Danio rerio: one gene and its partners. The protein of the gene in region 2 interacts with the protein of the main gene of each other region in a pairwise test. Links are inferred from orthologs where the notes say so. Each region holds a gene or a part of one and is shown on either strand. Other genes may lie near its edges.

Region 1 (3,500 bases), about 30 Mb from region 2:
ATAGATAGATAGATAGATAGATAGATAGATAGATAGATAGATAGATAGATAGATAGATAGATAGATAGATAGATAGATAGATAGATAGATAGATAGATAGATAGATAGATAGAAAGATAGTCAAGTGCATAATTTAAATAAATAAATAAATTAATTAATTGTTATACTGTTTTCTTTTGAAATCTAATATAGAATGTCTTAAAAAAGTAAACTATTTATTCTGTCATTTATTTTATAGGAGATTGCTATAAGTATTTGTCTGTATTAGATTAATGCCTTGTTTTTTATGTGACACAGGTACTTGTTGTTTGGGACTCTGGAATAAACAAAGCCAGAAACTACAGGCTTTTTGAGGAGGTTAGTGTTTCCATATTTTCCATATATTGGTAATAGCACAAGCAAAAACAAAAAAATAAATGAACGAATGGTTTTATAGTTGGATAAGTTGTACGATATAAACAACTCATTGCAAAAGATTTACAATCAGAATTATGTGATGTAAACTAGGATTTGCAGGGCATAAACTCTGAAACTCTGAAACACAAAAGAAACCCAGAATAGCAAGACATAAATGCAGAATTACAAGACATAAACTCACAAACTGAGAGATTTATTAAGAACTCTATTTATTCAGAACTCTGATTTATTCAGAATTCAGATCTCTTAAGTGAAATATGAAAACATAATAATAATAATAATAATAATAATAATAACAATTGTGATATAAAACTCAAAAAACAAATTGTAAAAAAACTGTTGAAAAACAGTAAAAACAAACTTATATCCAAAATAAAAGTTTGATTTTAGATAAGATGTGTGTTATAAATATTTAATATGTATATGTAAAACAAACACATCCTTAAAAACAAAACTATACAAATCCTTTTTTGCATACATAGATATTTAGATTTATATAAAATTTGTATCATATACATACACACACACATACACACACACACACACGCACACGTTATATCTAAATATAAATAATACATTTCTCAAATATATTAATTTATTTGAATATTCATATATATGTACGAAATAAATATATCAAATACACACACATATATTTTGTCAAAACGAATTATTTTTATGCAATTAATTGCGGTTAATATTTGCCCAGCACTAGTTAAAACTAGAAACTGCAAGAATTTGAAGGTTATATTCGCAGTTCCAACAACATGAATTAAAATTAAAATTGTTAGATTTTAAAAATCTAGTGCTAAAAAATGTTTTAAATCAAAGACATTTCAAGTTCAATATTTAATGCAAATTTCAGTCTTCAAATTTCACAACTACTGTTCAAATTTCTTCCCAGAGATGGGTTGCGGCTGGAAGGGCATCCACTGCGTAAAAATGTGCTGGATAAGTTGGCGGTTCATTCCGCTGTGGCGACCCCGGATTAATAAAGGGCTAAGCCGACAAGAAATTCAATGAATGAATGAATGTTCAAATTTCAAAACCAACGCAGTTGTGAACAAGGCACAATAGCCTTTTTACTGGTTTATTTATGTGACGAAAGCAAGCTTCTGTAGTCAAACAAATTATTCATTCTTGCCATCTCTTTTCCGTATACTTCCAGGAGCAGCGTATTTATCTGGAGACGGACGTGACGTTCACCTCTTTAGCTGCTCTGGTTGAACATTACCACAGTCACCCACTGCCCAGCAGCAACAACTCCATGCCCAATTACTCGCTCTGCTTACATTTACCATTCGGCTACACCCCGCCCAGGTGACCCCGGCCTCGGTCTCACACTGAAAAACCTGCTGCTCCTTCTGGACAAAACACCTGCATCCCATCAGGACACACAAGCACTGTGAAGAAGATTGTCATCATCACTGCCAGCAGACTGCGCTACAATTAAAGCTTCACAAATGTGGACACACTGTTTGAGGTCCAGTGCTTTCAACAGTACTCAGCTGATTGCAAGACTGATTTCTGAAGGATCATGTGACACTGCAGACTGGAGCGAATATTATGCTGAAAAATCTGCATTGACAACTCAGGAATAAATAGCATTTTAATGTAATAGATTCAAGCAGAATGGCCATCATGTTACATAATATTTTTAATTCTGTATTTTAAATGTACAATTCTGTCATTTTGATCCAAGAACTTATTGATCAAATCCCAATCCTTGGTGAGCATAAAAGATTTATATATATGGTGTATAGTGGCATAGTGGCTCAGAGGTTAGCATTGTTGCCTCATAGCAAGAAGGTCGCTGGTTCAAGTCCCGGCTGGGCCGGCTGCATGGGAGTCGGTTGCTCTAACAAGGAGGCTAAAGACCGTGGCCTCTAACAACTGTCGCTAGAGCACCTTTTGAGATCAGTGGAGTGAGATTTACCTGCATAGCACTTTGCTTACTAGCCTCTGCTACACTCACCCCTCTAAAGCTCACTCCCATCCCGGACAAGCCCCCATATGTACCAACCGGTCCTACTGCAACCAACCCGGTTTGAGCTGGGATCAAACCGGTAATTGTTAGCATGGCAGTCGTTTGTTCTAACAAGGAGGCTAAAGACCGTGACCTCTTGCACCTGTCGCTAGAGCACCTTTTGCGTTTAGAGGAGAGAGGTTTACCTGCATAGCACATTGCTTACTGGCCTCCGTTAAACTCCCCCACCCTAAACCTCACTCCCATGGACGAGCCCCCACGTGTAACCCACCGGTCCTACTGCACCCAACCCAGTCTAAGCTGGGATCGAACCAGCAATTCTTTGCATAGGAGTCGGTTGCTCTAAAGCCGCCTTTCCACTGCACACAACATTGGGACACGACTATCAGAATACGCCCTCTTGTGGCAGTCGCACAGAATTTTCAGTTCTGATGTGCACCATGGGAGAGAAGCTGTTCTCGCAGTGTTCTCTAAAAATATTGCAGGGAATGTGGAGACAACATAAAACATTATATTTATTAACATTTATTACTTTATTACTTACATTTATGAAATGTTTAGTTTAGTTTTTAAATATAGACTTTTTCTGATTCAAAAAATAACCAAATAAAGTCCTATTTCTTATCTCGCGCGCACGGACCTGCTTGAACAACACTGGAATACAACACTTCCGGTCGGCCGGTCGCTTACGGTCTAGTCGCAGGAGTTTAAATATTTCAACGGCTCCGCAGCTCAATTCGAATCTGAATTTTTTACATACGGAGATGATCAGAACTCCATGCAGCTCCCGGACTACTCTCCATTGGAAATGAATGACTTCCGGTCTGTTACTTGTCGTGTGAAGTGGAAAGGAGGCTTAACAAGGATGCTAATGTCCATGCCTCTATCGTCTTCGCTTGCTGGCCTTCGCTACACCAGCATCTCAAAGTGCAATTTAAAGGCTTAACTAGGCTGGTTAGATGGTTAACTAAGCATGTTAGGTTACTTATTTCTCAGCGACAGATCCCAACAGAAGTCAATAGCAAAAAATAATGTGAATTATTTGTATTAGAAGCATAGTTAGTCACTAATGGTATCCATCAAATGCATACTATTGTGT
Region 2 (4,025 bases):
AACCTTTGAGGAGACTGAAGCGCTGAGTTAATTTGTTTCAAATGTAGTGTGAAATAATAGATTTGGGGGGCCACATGGGCAAAACACATGCAGACTTCCCTCAGAATTCCTTTCACTGTGTGATGGCAGAAGATTTTTCATTTTTCATAAAAGCCTTTTCTCTACAAGTTGACATGTTGCTCCAGTTTTCGGGCATAATACAAATTAAGTCAATAGAAATACAAAGGAGTCAAAATCGTGAAAAGTGCGCCATCGTGCGGTCAAACAAATAACTGCGTGTTTTATTTTAGAGCCAATTGGAAAAGATGCATGCAAACAAAAAGTCTAAATAAGTATCATAATTTGCATTTGTAAATGCATGTCACAAACAAAAATGGCACAATAAGTATGGTAACAGTGCAATCTGCAAAAGTATTTTCAGCGGCAATCTGTGTGTGAATTGTTTGGAAAAGCTGTAATTGTTTTTGAATTTCACATACACATATAAAACTTTTAGGATAGAGTGTGGAGCATTATTTAAAAGCAATAATACACCACAACATAGCATAACATACTTCACTGACACCTTTACCGGTGGTATTTCAGATCGCAATTTCTCTTGCTCTTCAATCTATGAACTCTGAAGAAAAGGATTTGCATTATAGCTTTGTTCAGTCTATTCTTTAAGTAATTACAGTAATGTGATTGTACAAGTCCAACTAGTTCCACGTGTGACCTCGTGAACCGCCCTTAGATTGATCAATAGATATATGCTAAGTAAGGTGCGACTCATGAACAAATAGTTCGTTTGAACTGATTCAATCCAACCGATTGTTAACATGATGGACAATGCTAACATTAATATAATTAACACTAATTCTTAAATTGAATTATTTGACGCTACATATCATATCCAATGAAAAAGTAAACATAAATAACGCGTAAACAAAACAAAAATATCCGTGAATCATTTGATCGGTTCTCTTCAAAAGAGTCGATTCTGTAAAATGATTCCCAATGCTAACACGTTGACCATTTTAACAATTTTAACAGTGTTCTCGCTGTAATGCATTTCTACCACACACAAAATTCAATATTTGTCCCTGTTTAAATCATTTAAATAGTTATGGCTTGCTGGGAAGCTCTTTCTCTTCCTCCTTTCAATTCCCAAAAACTCGCCGAACCAGATTTCAAGAGACAGGTGCGTTTTTAACACGACAAAGGACGCTCAAACGAAAGAGGAAGACTGGTTATGATTATATCTCCATTAAAAATATCCACAACTTCATTCATTTCATGATCCACAATGGCGGTAAACCTGAGTAAAAACGGACCCGCGCTTACAGAAGCATATGATGAGGTGGTGAGCGGGAAAAAAGACTGGTAAGAAAACTCCATCACACATCAACACCTCGAAAATAAATCGACGAATGACATGTTTTTTTTTAAAGAATAAGTAATCATTATATTTACTTTACGTAATTAACTTTGCCATTTCAAGAGAATCTGGCATCCAACATTAAAAATACTATAGTAATTAGAGTAAATAGTGTTTTTGAAGCATATAGCAAAGCGTATTATTGTATACACTGTACACTCGATTTGCGTTGGGACAACATGAAAGAGTTAACTTATTAGTTTTTACAAATTTAAGTAGATTTAATGAAAAAATTAAGTTGTCCCAATTAAAAAAAAACTCAAAAATTGTGTTGTTTCAGCTCATTTTAAATAAGTCGTTTAAACAAATAGCAAACGTAATTTTTTTGAGTGTATAGTGTTTACAACACTTTTGTTAGTGAATGATAAAGCATAATGTAGTATTATTAACTATAGTGAACTATAATAAATACAGCAGTGCACTTTAGTTTTTACTACAGTAAACTGTGGTGTAGTATAATAACAATGTAGTATAATAACAATGTAGTTGCAGTAAAGTTGGGTTGTTTATATTAGTACTAATATAGTTGATGTACTACTGCAACAATAGAATTCAAAATACTCTAGTGTTTACTTTAGTATTTTTTCATTTATTTTCAAAACAATATTCAAATTTGTTTTATGAGCTATTACATATAACCTGTGCAAAAAAAAAACAGAATGGCTGGTTACTTCTTGGCGAGTATTTTACATTTATAATAGCCTATTCTGTTAATAATCTTGCATGAAATGTAATTTTTTTTTTAAACAGGGTGTTGTTCACCTATGAAGGAAACAGTAATGACATTCGGGTTGCAGGGAAGGGAGGTGAGTGTTTTCTTCAGATGAGATGAGAGTGCCAATAGACTGACGTCATGCTTTTTTTTTTTTTTTTGTCTTATTGATGAGTCAGCAGTCCACAGTTTCATATGCTGGTTTGTGTTTCTCTCATTTTTTTTAGATGGTGGGCTTGAAGAAATGGTGGACGAACTGAACAGTGGTAAAGTCATGTATGCCTTCTGTAGAGTGCTGGACCCCAGCTCTGGAGTGCCCAAATTTGTGCTCATCAACTGGGTATGAACAGAAAAATATTCAGAGCTGGATGTACAAATAAAAAATGCTTCATGAATGAATAGTTCACTCAAATATTACATTTACATTTAGTCATTTAGCAGACGCTTTTATCCAAAGCGACTTACAAATGAGGACAAGGAAGCAATTTACACAACTAAGAGCAACAATGAATAAGTGCTGTAGGCAAGTTTCAGGTCTGTAAAGTCTAAATGTCAGACATTAATGTCTAAATGTCAGACATTAAGTCATAATGTCAGACATTAACAAGAATTATTCATAATATTTATTAAATTACCCAGTCAATTGTATTTTATTAATGTCTACCTCAACCCCAACCCTTACAGTAATGTAAAAACAGTAATTATCCAGAGAATTATTCATATTATTTATTAAAATGCGGATGGGCCCACGCGGATTGCAATATGCACTGGTCATTCATTCATTCAGTTTCTTGTCGGCTTAGTCCCTTTATTAATCCGGGGTCGCCACAGCGGAATGAACCGCCAACTTATCCAGCAAGTTTTTACGCAGCGGATGCCCTTCCAGCCGCAACCCATCTCTGGGAAAACATCCACACACAAACACTCATACACTACGGACAATTTAGCCTACCCAATTCGCCTGTACCACATGTCTTTGGTCTGTGGGGGAAACCGGAGCACCCGGAGGAAACCCACGCGAAGGCAGGGAGAACATGCAAACTCCACACAGAAACGCCAACTGAGCTGAGGTTCGAACCAACGAACTTCTTGCTGTGAGGCGACAGCACTACCTACTGCGCCACTGCCTCGCCAGCACTGGTCACTACTAACTAAACGGAGTAGGACCACACAGTTATGTTTTGTTAACATGTTGAGGTTATATGTTGCATGTAAAATGTACGTTTCAAAACTGCACAAATTTTGTCAATCCGCCTATGCACACAATCAAATTCAAAATCACCCGATCTGGCAACACTGACAACAAAGAAGACTTTCTCCAGAAGATAAAATATTATAGGAAATACTGTGAAAAATGTCTTGCTCTGTTAAACATCATTTGGGAAATACTTGAAAACAAAATTCACAGGAGGGCGAATACTTTTTACTTTAAAAAAATGCAGCAACACCGAAAGCTTTAAAATGTATTCACAGCTTCATTGATATGAATCCTCTTTTGGTTTTAGACCGGCGAGGGAGTCAAGGACCTCAGAAAGGGTGTTTGCGCTAGACATGTTCACTCAATGGCCAATTTTCTGAGAGTGAGTTTAAAATACAAGTCATTCTCTTATTTGTCGCATTATGTCATGCAAATAAACACCATCATAACTTTAATCTGTTATGTGTTGAATTAAAGGGTGCACACGTGACCATTAACGCTCGATCAGATGATGACGTGGAACCTGCGGCCATCATGGAGAAAGTGGCCAAAGGCTCCGGCGTAAACTACAACATCCACAGAGAATCAAGCCAGAACAATCATTCTGAGCCTCCTGGACGTGTGGTGAGGGATTTCAATCATAATCATAACTCATATTAAAGATTATGGAAGTCTAGTCCTACTATGGAAATTGTGAA
Region 3 (3,500 bases), about 40 Mb from region 2:
AACTGTCAGTGGGCTGCCATCTTTCATAAGAGACGTTAAACCAAGGTCCTGACTCTCTGTGCTCATTAAAAATCCCATGGCACTTCTCAAAAAGAGTAGGAGTCTATCGCCAGTGTCCTGGCCAAATTCCCTCCATTGGCCCTTACCCATCATGGCCTCCCAATCATCCCCATCCACTGAATTGGCTCTATCACTGTCTCTCCTGGTGTGGTGAATGCACTGGCGCTGTCTGCTGTGGCTGCCGTCGCACTACCCAAGTGGATGCTGTATACTGGTGGGGGTGTGGAGAGACTCCCCCTCATAATTGTGAAGCGCTTTGGGTGTATGGCCATACACAATAAATGTGCTATATAAATACACTTTACATTACATGTAACAAATTGTGGTTATGTGTATATGAAACTACGAATAACAGATGTAGCAGGACATTAAATTACTGTTTATTTTTGTGCATTTTAACTTTGTAAACTAAAATCATGCCTCACCTCACGGTTTGTGTCTCATTTTGTGAGCTGACAACAGTTGTTCGCTTCCCTCTTTTTCCCCTGCTTTGCCGACCACGCCCACTCCTTCCTCTGCTCTCAGCGCTCCACGCCCATCTCGGTGCTTTTTTATTTTTTATTTTTTAATTAGGAGGTAGATCGAAAGAGGGTTTTAACTCCCCTTACTGTAAAACACATTTGTACTGTCCTGTTTTTAATTTTTCCAGAAGGATTTTTTATGAAATGAACTCTCTTAAGGACATGCAGTGACAGCAGAAAAAATAATGATTTTTTTATCATGTAGTAACACTAAAATCTTATTCAATTTATTTATTTTGTTTTTTATTGTAGATTTATTATTAAAGTATTCTTGCCATGAAAATAGCTTTGGTTGCTGACATGGCATTAAACAAAAAATATACATTACATTACATTGAGATAATTTTGATAAAAATTAATTTATTCTGGACTTTATTATAAAACATTTAACACCAGTTTTTGCTGTTTAATTTTTTTGTGGACGCCATCACAGGAGTCTTCTACTAATAATGCTTAATGCGTTTACTTGAATTAAGTTTGATATGTCAATTTAAGTATGGATTTTTAATGATCAGTGTTGAGAGAGTATTTTGATTTAAAACCTTGCAGTGTACTTGGAATTTTCTCTGTATTTAATATAAATAAACATATCAAAGGGTATACTAATCTATTTAATAATCAGTAATCTAAGTACACTCTGCTAAAACGGGGTAAACAAATCTCTATCTTGATCCCCACCTATCTCTCTAGTGCTAATAATAGAGATATATTCATCATATCTGTCACCTCTTTTTATTCAAGACTCATTCATCTCAGGAATGTGGTACTGCAGGCTGTGTAATTACGTGTTTTGACACGGATTTCCCCTCAACGCATCATCTGTTGTGCAAAGCCGCTTCTAGTTCTCTTGTTATGTACAGTAAATATGTTTAACAGACCAAATATGAACTGAATGTTGTGAACAAAGTCTCAGGAAATATCTTTACATGGCTTCATGGCTGATGGTCTGGGATTTGATCCAGTTTGTTTCTTCTGTTCTGTCTGGCAGGAAAGGCGGTATGCGGCGCTCACAGTCAACGTCCAGTCGAGAACATATTATTCGTTGGTTTAAGGAGGAACAGTTGCCCCTCAGAGCAGGGTTTCAGCGCGATCAAAGCCGGATCGCCACATGGTTTCACGGTGAGAATCAATTTAGGCAGAATCCAGAATTGTTTCTTAAAGCACACAATGAGAAAATTAAAATTCTGCCATCATTTACTTACTTACCCTTGACCTACATTGAACACAAAGGAAGATATTTTAAGGAATGTTAGAAACCTGCAACCTTTGACTTCTGTAATATTTGCTTTTCCTACTATGAAAGTAAAAATTTTCCAACATTTTTTTTTTAATATCTTCTTTTGTATTTAACAGAATGATGAAACTGAAACAAGAAAAAGTTTCTGCAGTCTTTACTCAATTATAAATAAATGAAAAGCTACAGATCAAGAAGGTAAATGACTAAAAATGAACTCTCAGTAATGATTTTAAATCACACTGAACTGAGCTGAACTGAACTGAACTTAAACACTAAAAACTGAACTACACTGTTCCAGTTACTATGACCATTTATGTGAAGCTGCTTTGAGACAATCCACATTGTAAAAGCGCTCACCAGGGCACCCAGGGCTCAAATAATAGATTCTTCAAATTTTGTAGACCCTTCCTGTCTTTCCAAACAGAGCTATTGAATTAGTCTATATCAAGTTAATACAGTATATAGAGATTTCCTACAACCGATAACATGATCTGATTTTATCTACAGGTATAATCTCCCGTGAGCAGGCAGAGGAACTGCTGAGCGGTGGTGAGCCCGGGCTTTTCCTGGTCCGCGTCAGTGAGAGGATCTTTGGATATGTGCTTTCCTACCGATTCAAGGATGGAATCAAACACCTGCTGATTGACTCCTCGGAGAACTGCTACATGCTGCTGGGAGACCAGATCAAATTCAGCTCCCTCAGTGAACTAGTGGAGTATCATCAGGTAATGTGCTGTACCAACGCAATCTCACGGCAACTCGTAACTTTTTGATTTAGCGGCTAATTCGAATGAATTTGTACGATTACACTCGTACAGTTTACAGACCCCCTAGTTTTTGGGAATTTTTTTATTTTTTTATTTTTTGGTGATTTTTCATGATAAAAATGACTGATTTTGTGGCGGAAATTTGCGGACAGTTTTGTGACTTAAAATATATATACATACATGTGAAAAAGTATATACATATAATCTATTTACCAATATTTACCATATTGGGTAGCCTGCTATGATAGGCGTGCAATCTGACACAATAACAAGGACAGGGGCGCCTGCAGGATTTTATTCGAAGGTACTCACAAATCCAGCACTGCCCCGCCCCGTCCCCTTCCCCTTACCCCAATCATATCAAGAAACACTGATGCTTACTGTCAAAGGCTACATTAAGGATATTCGTTATGACATTTATTTGTTTCTTTTTGTCATTTATTTGTTTCCTTTTTAAAATTAATATGTTTTCTTTGAAATCTAAATGTAATAAAAGCACATCAGCACAAAGGAAAAATCAGATGCTCGAGACGTAATCTTTAAAATTAAGACATATTAAAAAATTGCAAATATATGACAGAAGATTGTGATACAATACAATTAGTGAAGCAATAATTAAATCCTTACTTTACACTGACCGAAAATCATCCACCTGCACAGTTGAGTAGTAAACGGGCTCAAACAAAAATATATATTTTCTTGGAAAAAATATCTTTTTATAAAACGAATTTCGTATATAGTTTGTCTCTTTGTTTAACTATTTTTCTTGGTCAGTTATCTTCTAGATACAATAGAAGAACGAATAACATTTGAGTTGAAGTGCTTCAAAACAAATCTGCTATGCTTCAACAATACCAAAGCACGAACTGGATTGTCAAATAAAATAATAATCTAGCCTAAATAAAATTAAAGTGA

The links.
Region 1: the proteins of dbnla (region 2) and sh3bp2 interact in binary tests that used the Homo sapiens proteins (3 or more experiments, as listed by UniProt). The link is inferred for Danio rerio from reciprocal best matches to the Homo sapiens genes DBNL and SH3BP2.
Region 3: the proteins of dbnla (region 2) and sh2d4a interact in binary tests that used the Homo sapiens proteins (3 or more experiments, as listed by UniProt). The two-hybrid records come from large-scale screens. The link is inferred for Danio rerio from reciprocal best matches to the Homo sapiens genes DBNL and SH2D4A.

The regions. Positions count from the first base shown.
Region 1 is NC_133185.1:17,519,549-17,523,048, forward strand, and holds part of sh3bp2 (SH3 domain-binding protein 2), read left to right. Parts: intron 1-297; coding exon 298-357; intron 358-1,582; coding exon 1,583-1,738; 3' UTR 1,739-3,500. UniProt on the Homo sapiens protein: Binds differentially to the SH3 domains of certain proteins of signal transduction pathways. Binds to phosphatidylinositols; linking the hemopoietic tyrosine kinase fes to the cytoplasmic membrane in a phosphorylation dependent mechanism.
Region 2 is NC_133185.1:47,603,972-47,607,996, forward strand, and holds the start of dbnla (drebrin-like a), read left to right. Parts: upstream 1-1,225; 5' UTR 1,226-1,285; coding exon 1,286-1,362; intron 1,363-2,167; coding exon 2,168-2,223; intron 2,224-2,356; coding exon 2,357-2,469; intron 2,470-3,634; coding exon 3,635-3,709; intron 3,710-3,804; coding exon 3,805-3,951; intron 3,952-4,025. UniProt on the Homo sapiens protein: Adapter protein that binds F-actin and DNM1, and thereby plays a role in receptor-mediated endocytosis.
Region 3 is NC_133185.1:7,462,955-7,466,454, reverse strand, and holds part of sh2d4a (SH2 domain-containing protein 4A), read left to right. Parts: intron 1-1,569; coding exon 1,570-1,700; intron 1,701-2,325; coding exon 2,326-2,543; intron 2,544-3,500. UniProt on the Homo sapiens protein: Inhibits estrogen-induced cell proliferation by competing with PLCG for binding to ESR1, blocking the effect of estrogen on PLCG and repressing estrogen-induced proliferation. May play a role in T-cell development and function.